2 linked regions of the Caenorhabditis elegans genome follow. The protein of the gene in region 2 interacts with the protein of the main gene of each other region in a biochemical or structural test. Each region holds a gene or a part of one and is shown on either strand. Other genes may lie near its edges. The genes, in order: ubc-1 and rbx-1.

Region 1 (3,926 bases), on a different chromosome or scaffold from region 2:
AATTCAAAAAAAAAAAAATTATTTTTGCTTGAAATGTCAGCCATTTTCAGCCAAAATTCAGCAATTTTTCGCAAAAAAAATCTCAATTTTGGCATAAAAATTCAGATTTTTCATATTTCGCAAAAAATTTCGCCTATTTTCAGCCGAATTTCAGCCAAACGTTTAATTTTTCTCAAAATTTCAGTTTTGGCATAAAAATTCCAAAATTTTTTAATTTTAACTCAATTTTCATCGATTTTCAGCTAAATTTCCACATTTAGGGTAAAATTTTACGATTTTGAACCACAAAAAGCCAAATTTTGCATACATTAGATGAAAATTTAAGAATTTTCGTATTTCAACTTAAATGTTATCGATTTTCAGCCAAATTTCAATTTTTGGGGTGAAATTTCTCGATTTCGGGTCAAAAACTGCCAAATTTTCAATATTTGAGCTCTAATTTCGCCGATTTTCATCCAAAATTCAGGGTTGTGTACCTGCTCAACAATCTGCTGAACACGTTTCTCATATTCCCGTCGATTTTCTTGATAAAGCTGTGCGGCAAGTGAGTTGGCCGGTGAATTTGGATTGGGCTCGTCGAGCAACGACTGAATCGATGTCAGAATTGCGGCAACATCATACGTCGGAGACCATCGATTCTGTAGAATATCCAGACAAATTGATCCGTCCGCATACACATTTGGATGGAACATTTTGGAAATAAATTTGACGGTTGGCGGTTTATTTGGATATTCTTCAGTAAATTCCAGTGATAATTTGAATGTTCCATCTTCAAACGGGGTTTCTTGTGGTCCAAAAATTATTGCTTCCCATGTGAGAATATTATCTTCTGTTGGTGCACCTGATACTCCTGCTGGTGGATCTTCCTGAAAGATTTGGTCGTTTTTTTGGGGATTTAGAGCGATTTTTTTTGGAAATTAAAAGAAACCTTTCTTTTGGAAAATTTTCAGTTTTTTAGGAATTTTGAGCGATTTTTTTTGGAAATTTTGAGCAATCTTTTAATGATTTTGAGCCGTTTTTTGGTAATTTTAAGTGATTTTTTTTTTGGTAATTTCGACGATTTTTTGGTAATTTTCGACGATTTTTCGGAAATTTTGGGCAATTTTTTTGTGTTTTTCGGCCGTTTTTTGGAAACTTTCGATGATTTTTTGGTAATTTTGAGCGATATTTTTGAAATTTTAGGCGATTTTTCGGAGAATTTCGACGAATTTTTGGAAAATTCGGCAATTTTTTTGGAGGCGATTTTTTGATAATTTTGGCGATTTTTTGGGAACTTTCGATGATTTTTTGGAAATTTTGAGCGATTTTTCAGTAATTTCGACGATTTTTTTTGGTAATTTTTTTTTTTTTTTTGGTAATTTTGAGCAATCTTTTGGATATTTTCGACGATTTTTCGGAAATTTTGGGCATTTTTTTTGTGCTTTTCGACCGTTTTTTGGAAACTTTCGATGATTTTTTGGTAATTTTAAGCGATATTTTTGAAATTTTAGGCGATTTTTCGGAGAATTTCGACGAATTTTTGGAAAATTCGGCAATTTTTTTGGAAAATTCTCGGCGATTTTTTTTTGGAAATTTTCGGCGATTTTTTGGACATTTTCGGCCGTTTTTATGGATATTTTCGGCGATTTTTTGGCAATTTTAATTTTAAAAATTTCACGAGAAATTTATCAAAAATCCCAAAAATATCTAATTTTTTCTGGAAAAAACCAATTTTTGTTGCAAATGTTCTCTAATGTTCAAAGAAAGCCAAATTTTCGGGCCAAAAATTTCAAAACTCACCTGAAGTTTCTTAAAATCTCTCATCAAACGTCTACGGCTGGGCGTCGTCATATTGATAACCTAACTCCTGCAAAAAATGTGAAAATTAGGTTAAAAATTCGAAAAAATGCAGAAAAATGCTAGAACAAGTATGAAAAAAGGTACGGCAACCTTTAAAAAATCAAAAAATTAAAGAAAATATTTTTTAACATTTATTGACAATAATGCAAAAGTTGAGCAATTTGTGTGAGTTGTTGAACTTCTGCCGACGATTCCAGCCAAGCTTCCTGCAAAAATCGAAAAATTAGGTAGAAAATTGGAATTTCCCAAAAAAATTCGTATTTTAGTGCAAATTTGGAATATAATTTCCGTAAAAATTGGAAACTTTCGAAAATGTTTCGTAAAAAATTCAGTTTATGTTAAATGAAAATGCTGGAAAATTGCCAAAAATGTCAAATTTTTCTTTGAAAATTTGAATTTTTTGGAATTTTTCATTGAAATTCGATTTTCTAACTGAAAATTAGAAAATTTTGGTTCAAATCGAACTTTTTTAGTGAAAAAAAAAATTTTAATGAATTTTTAATGAAATTTGATTTTTTTAGTGGAAATTTCTAAATTTTAATTTAAAAATTTCTAAAAAAAAATCAATTTTCCAAAAATTTAAAATTTTACAAAAAAACGTGAAATTCTCAGTAAAATTCAAATTTTCGGTGAATTTTTGATTTTTATCTTTTTTTTTTTTTTGGAATTTCAATTTTCTCACTGAAAATGTCAATTTTTTGGTAAATTTGAAAAATTTGAAGTTTTCGGTGAAAATTTTGAGTTTAAACTGGAATTTTAGGTTTTCCGGAAAATTCGAAATGATTAACTGAAAACTTTCAAAAAATCAAAATTTTGAGTAAAAAAGTCCAATTTTTCTGGAAAAATGCAAATTTTATAATATTTTTCAGAAAAATTCAAATTTAAAGCCGAAATTTTCCAATTTTTCAGTACAAAATATTCAACTTAGGCTCAATTTTTTTCACGATTTTAAGGTAAAAATTCTGATTTACTTAATTATCAGCTATAAAAAAATCAATTTCGACTAAAAAAATCCGTACTTTTTTACAAATTTGATCAATTCGATGTATTCTTTGTAGTAATTCCATTAATCTTTCCGAATTAATTTTCTTTTTTCTTTCCATATTTTCAACCATTTCTCGCATTTCTGGACTAATATCATCGTCGAACATCACATCTCCGGAAACTCTGAAAAATTTTGAAATTGATAGATTTCTTAGAGAGAAGTTTTTGGGAATTTTTATGGATTTTATAGAAAATTTGAGATTTTTGAAAAATCCCTAAAAATTAATTTAAATATTTCAGAAAAAAAAACTATTTTCTTAATTTTTTGGAAAACTCATTACTTCTTAAATAATTTACAGATTTTGTTTTAATTTTTGATATTTTTCTGAAACTTTTTGGCATTAAAAATTTCTTTAAAGTGATTTTTTTTTCAGATTTTTGTGTAAATTCATTTTTCAAAAATTTTAGACATTTTTTCCGGATTTTTTTCTTTTTAATTAATTTTTCTGAACTTTTCCGAAGTTTTTTTTTCGGAATTTTAATTTTCAGAATTTTAACCTCAAAAAATCCACATTTTTCCTGAAAATTCAAATTTTCAAAAAAAAAAAAAAACTAACAATTCAACTTCTTCACCAACACGTTGACCATCTGGAAGCTTCTGCCTATCCGGTTGCTCAATCTGCAAATTTTTACAGTTTTTTGATGGAAAAGCTTCGAAAATTGGCTTTTCTGAGCAGAATTTGGATAATTTTTTCGATTTTTGATGTAAAATTGAAATTTCGCGGTTTTTTTTATGGAAAAACACAAATTTTCTCAATTTGAAGACATTTTTTCATGGAAAATCTTGAAAATTGCAGAATTTGGGTCAATTTTTCAGTGTTTTTTCTACTTATCCTTCGAAATTTCGCAAATTTTCCAGATTTCCTCCACTCACAAACGTCGGATGCGGAGCATTTCTGTAGGAATACGATATTACTGCCAAATCTCGATTATGAAGTTGCTCAGCGACTTCTGGCGGGCATAGTGGCAAAATTTTGAGCAAATAAATTTTCCGCACAAATCCAAACGACTGGCTGTACTTTTGGCCATTGTAACGGCGGCAG
Region 2 (3,663 bases):
TGATCTGATCACTTCGATGATAACAGAAAATATATAAATATGTAGCTAAGTTGGAGAGTACGGTAGGTTACGGTGTGATCGCGGTGAGATATCAGGTGATTATAAACTATATAGTTTAAGTAAGCCCAAAGCCCAATAGCGGCCTGAATATACCTCGTTTTTAAAGAAACGTTTTAAGTTACTTCAGAATGAAAAAAAAACAGTCTAGAAGTATTGGGAATTAAATTTTCGAGTGGCAGTTATATTAAAAAAAATAAACCGATGTGTATAATTTTCATTGAGTTTTGCCCTACTTTGTGAACTTCAACACTTCTAAATATGTATGAACAATTTTGTGCAATTTGGCATTCGGAGGAACTACTGTATCTGAAATCGTGGCAGGACCCAGCCAAGAGAAGTAGTGTGCGCCTTTAAAGTGATACTTCACTTTTCATGAAGTTAAGAATATCCGCAATTTAGCAACGTCGATTATTGAACAATAAACGTTTGTAGACAGTTTTAAAAGCAGAAAATTATCTTGGTCTATATTAATGAGAGAACTCTACAAAAATCAGTATCCAAAATTTAAAAAAAACTTTGGCACAGAAACGAACAAGCAATCGTAATAATCAATTATTACGGAAAGGAATACGAAGAAGCGGCGAGAAATGTGCTGCAATTCGGTTTTGAACGTTTTAGCCGAATTGCAAATAAATTACGCGAGACGAGACCTCCTCCTTTTGCTCCGGCGGCTTGAACGGTGCCCGCAACCTGAACCTAAACAGCCTAAGCACATAAACGGCACGAGAATTGTCTCGTTGAGAATTATGAGACCAGAGGACACAGTTCATATTTATATTTTTAGCGGAGAAAAATTAAATATTCAAGCGAGGAAGGATGATTTTAGAAGGTCAGAAGGGATTGGAGATTTGAATAAACAAATGAAAAGTGTCAGATCACATAGAGACTAACACGTCTGGATTTTAATGTGCTTTTTTTTGGGACGAATACATATTCACAAAAGGAAATAGAAGAAAAATCAGTGAATACAAGTAAAAAAGTGTGAAGAAACTGCCCGGGCGGTTGGCAGAAGAATGAAGATCGATTAGTGTCCGTACTTTTGGAATTCCCACTCACGATTGTCCAATGGGCATACCTGAAAAGATAGAATTAGAAAATGTGTAAGCTTTTTGAAATGCTAGTTACGAGTACTTAGTAATTGAAAAAAATTAAATTTTCAAAAGTTGTTTAACAAAAATGCATGCGGCAGGCTTCTGTTCCGCTTTGACATTTGAATAAATATCATTTTTTCAAAAATAAGCACGTTTAAAAGCAACCTACCTGTCGTGTCTTCAGCCAACGAGAAATGCAATGGAAGTGGAAAGCGTGATTACAGTTTCCCCATGCAACGGTACACTCATCCTTGAGCCCGGCTGCTTGATTCGCTTGGCACTCGATGCACAGATCCATGATGTGATTGCGGCAAATAGCGCAGTTGTCGACCTGAATGTCCCAGGCCCAAAGTGCGACGGCACTCCATTTCTTGACCTTAAATTGCACTATGTTTGTTAAAGCATGTAACATTGTATCTGTGTTACCTCGAAACGCTTCTTAACTGTCTGATTTGTGGCCTCCTCGACCTCCATAGCTGTGCTGTCGCTTGCTTGGGCCATTTCTGGAAAAAATACAAATGAGAATAACAGTAATCATTTCAAAATAAGAGCGCAAAAGTAGCATTGATGATATAATGAAATACTTAATATTGAACATGTTTATGCATACTATAATACTATAAGCCTAAACTAAATAGAGGATATGATTGATAAAATTGTTGTATCAGATTTTATGAAAAATTGTACCCTAGAACAAGTGATTCACGAACCTAATACAACATTGTTGTACAAAGCCGCCGATAGAAAATGAGGAAACATGAAGGACTTGACATTATTGCTAATATGTATTGAAAAAGGAGATACGCTGTTGTAAAATAAATAAAATGAAATCAGACTGAGCAACACTGCCGAAATTCTTTCGAAAGAATCATCAAAAACGCTTGTCTGCACACACCAGACGCTACGCGCATTTGCGTACACCGTACTCACCTATTTTCTGTCTTCACGCTTTCGCTTTCTTTTTAAAATTTACTCGTCGCGTCTTATTTCTTGCCGAAACGAACAAAGAAGAACAGGTTAAAAAGAAAAATTGTATTTAACAAAAATAAACCGTATCAGTTAGTATTTTAACAGTAATTCTAACAATTGGGACGATGAGAAAACAACTTTTAAATCGTTTCAAGATATTTATTCTGGCAAATCCGTGTATCCAATTCTCTTTTTCTTTCGCTCCGGAAAACATTTTTCAGTAATTTCTTTCAGCTTGTTTCCTAGATTTTTTCGATAGTCAATAACCATGTCGCAGTCGATGGTTCCGTCGGGTCTCTCGTGATGGCTTTTTATGTGCTTGATCACATCAGATTTTGCAATTGTCTGCCATTTTCTGTGACAGATTCCGCACTCGTAGAGCTCATATTTTCCGTGACGCGTATTTGCATGATACACCATGCTTGATCTTTGTTTGGAAACAACGTCTCCACAAAGAGAACATTGAATTTGTTGCTTCGGCTTGATCGGACCACCGCCATCAGATGCTCCCTCGAATGAAGGACCGGCTCCACGTTCTTCTTCGTGACGTGCCAGAGTTTCGTCTGAATTAAATCCAAATGAGTGGGAATCATTATTATGTGTAAGTTTACCTAGAAAGGCATGATAAGCATTATCTACGAAGACAACAGGAGAAGATGACTGAATAGGTGTGCCAGTTGCTTCTGAGTTTTCGACTTTGACTCTGTTCTCCACTGTGCTTGACACCGCATCGCTGATTTTCCCTTCAATCCGCATAGATCGACTCATTGCAATGCACCGTTCGAGCTTTTGGGTCAGTTCCTTCTTTTTCATACTCAACTCCGGTGTGTAGCGATATTTTATCTGCAATTTAAATTATTGTTGAATTTTTTTTCTGCGTCTCTCAACATTGGAGACTTACAGAAAATTCGGTGAGTCCATGATCATTCATACAGTGACTGACAAGGGCGAATTCCGTTGGAAACTTAGCGTACTTACATTTTTCGCATCTAAAATAGTAAAGCTACGTTCACCACATATTAAAAGTTAAAGACTTACTCATATGGGCATATGTTAAGATGATCACTAGCAATGTGTGCTTCGAGATCTTCCAGTGTGTTGTAGGCCTCAGTTTGAACGCAATCTAGACATCCCAGTAGTCGGTTCATTTTTTGAATGTAATAAATATATTCTGCAAATTTAGTAATATAGATTTAGAAGCGAACGGTTAACAAAATGTGTTCGAAATCAACTGAAGACGCGTGGAAAAAGGAAAAGAATGGTGAGAAGAAGAAGGAAGGAAAATGGAGAGAAGGGGGTGGTTTTGTGTGTGTGAGGAGGAGAAGAAGGCCGGGCGGGCAATGGCCAGTCTCTTCCTCCTTTCTCCTTCCTTTCTTCTCCTCTTTCTTCTTTTTTCTTCTTCTCATCGCTCGGTTCGCGCTACATTGAAACGGAGAGAGAAAGGGAAAGAGAGAGGACAAAAATGCGACGACTCGTCTTCTTCCTATCTCTTTCTCTCTGCTGTGTGTGTGTGTGTGTTTTTGTGGCGATAGGAAAAAAAGAA

Evidence for each region.
Region 1: of the proteins of rbx-1 (region 2) and ubc-1, one has a biochemical effect on the other in vitro, tested with the Caenorhabditis elegans proteins (one study listed by BioGRID).

What each region holds. Positions count from the first base shown.
Region 1 is NC_003282.8:4,100,940-4,104,865, reverse strand, and holds the start of ubc-1 (Ubiquitin-conjugating enzyme E2 1), read right to left. Parts: upstream 1,847-3,926; 5' UTR 1,831-1,846; coding exon 1,780-1,830; intron 867-1,779; coding exon 477-866; intron 1-476. Other genes in the region: C35B1.2 (SWIM-type domain-containing protein), read right to left, coding at 1,971-2,045, 2,859-3,006, 3,441-3,502, 3,758-3,926. UniProt on the Caenorhabditis elegans protein: Catalyzes the covalent attachment of ubiquitin to other proteins.
Region 2 is NC_003283.11:9,688,869-9,692,531, forward strand, and holds rbx-1 (RING-box protein 1), read right to left. Parts: upstream 1,655-3,663; 5' UTR 1,653-1,654; coding exon 1,578-1,652; intron 1,528-1,577; coding exon 1,321-1,527; intron 1,136-1,320; coding exon 1,085-1,135; 3' UTR 818-1,084; downstream 1-817. Other genes in the region: ztf-9 (C2H2-type domain-containing protein), read right to left, coding at 2,280-2,683, 2,732-2,963, 3,022-3,109, 3,159-3,268. UniProt on the Caenorhabditis elegans protein: Component of the SCF (SKP1-CUL1-F-box protein) E3 ubiquitin ligase complex, which mediates the ubiquitination and subsequent proteasomal degradation of target proteins.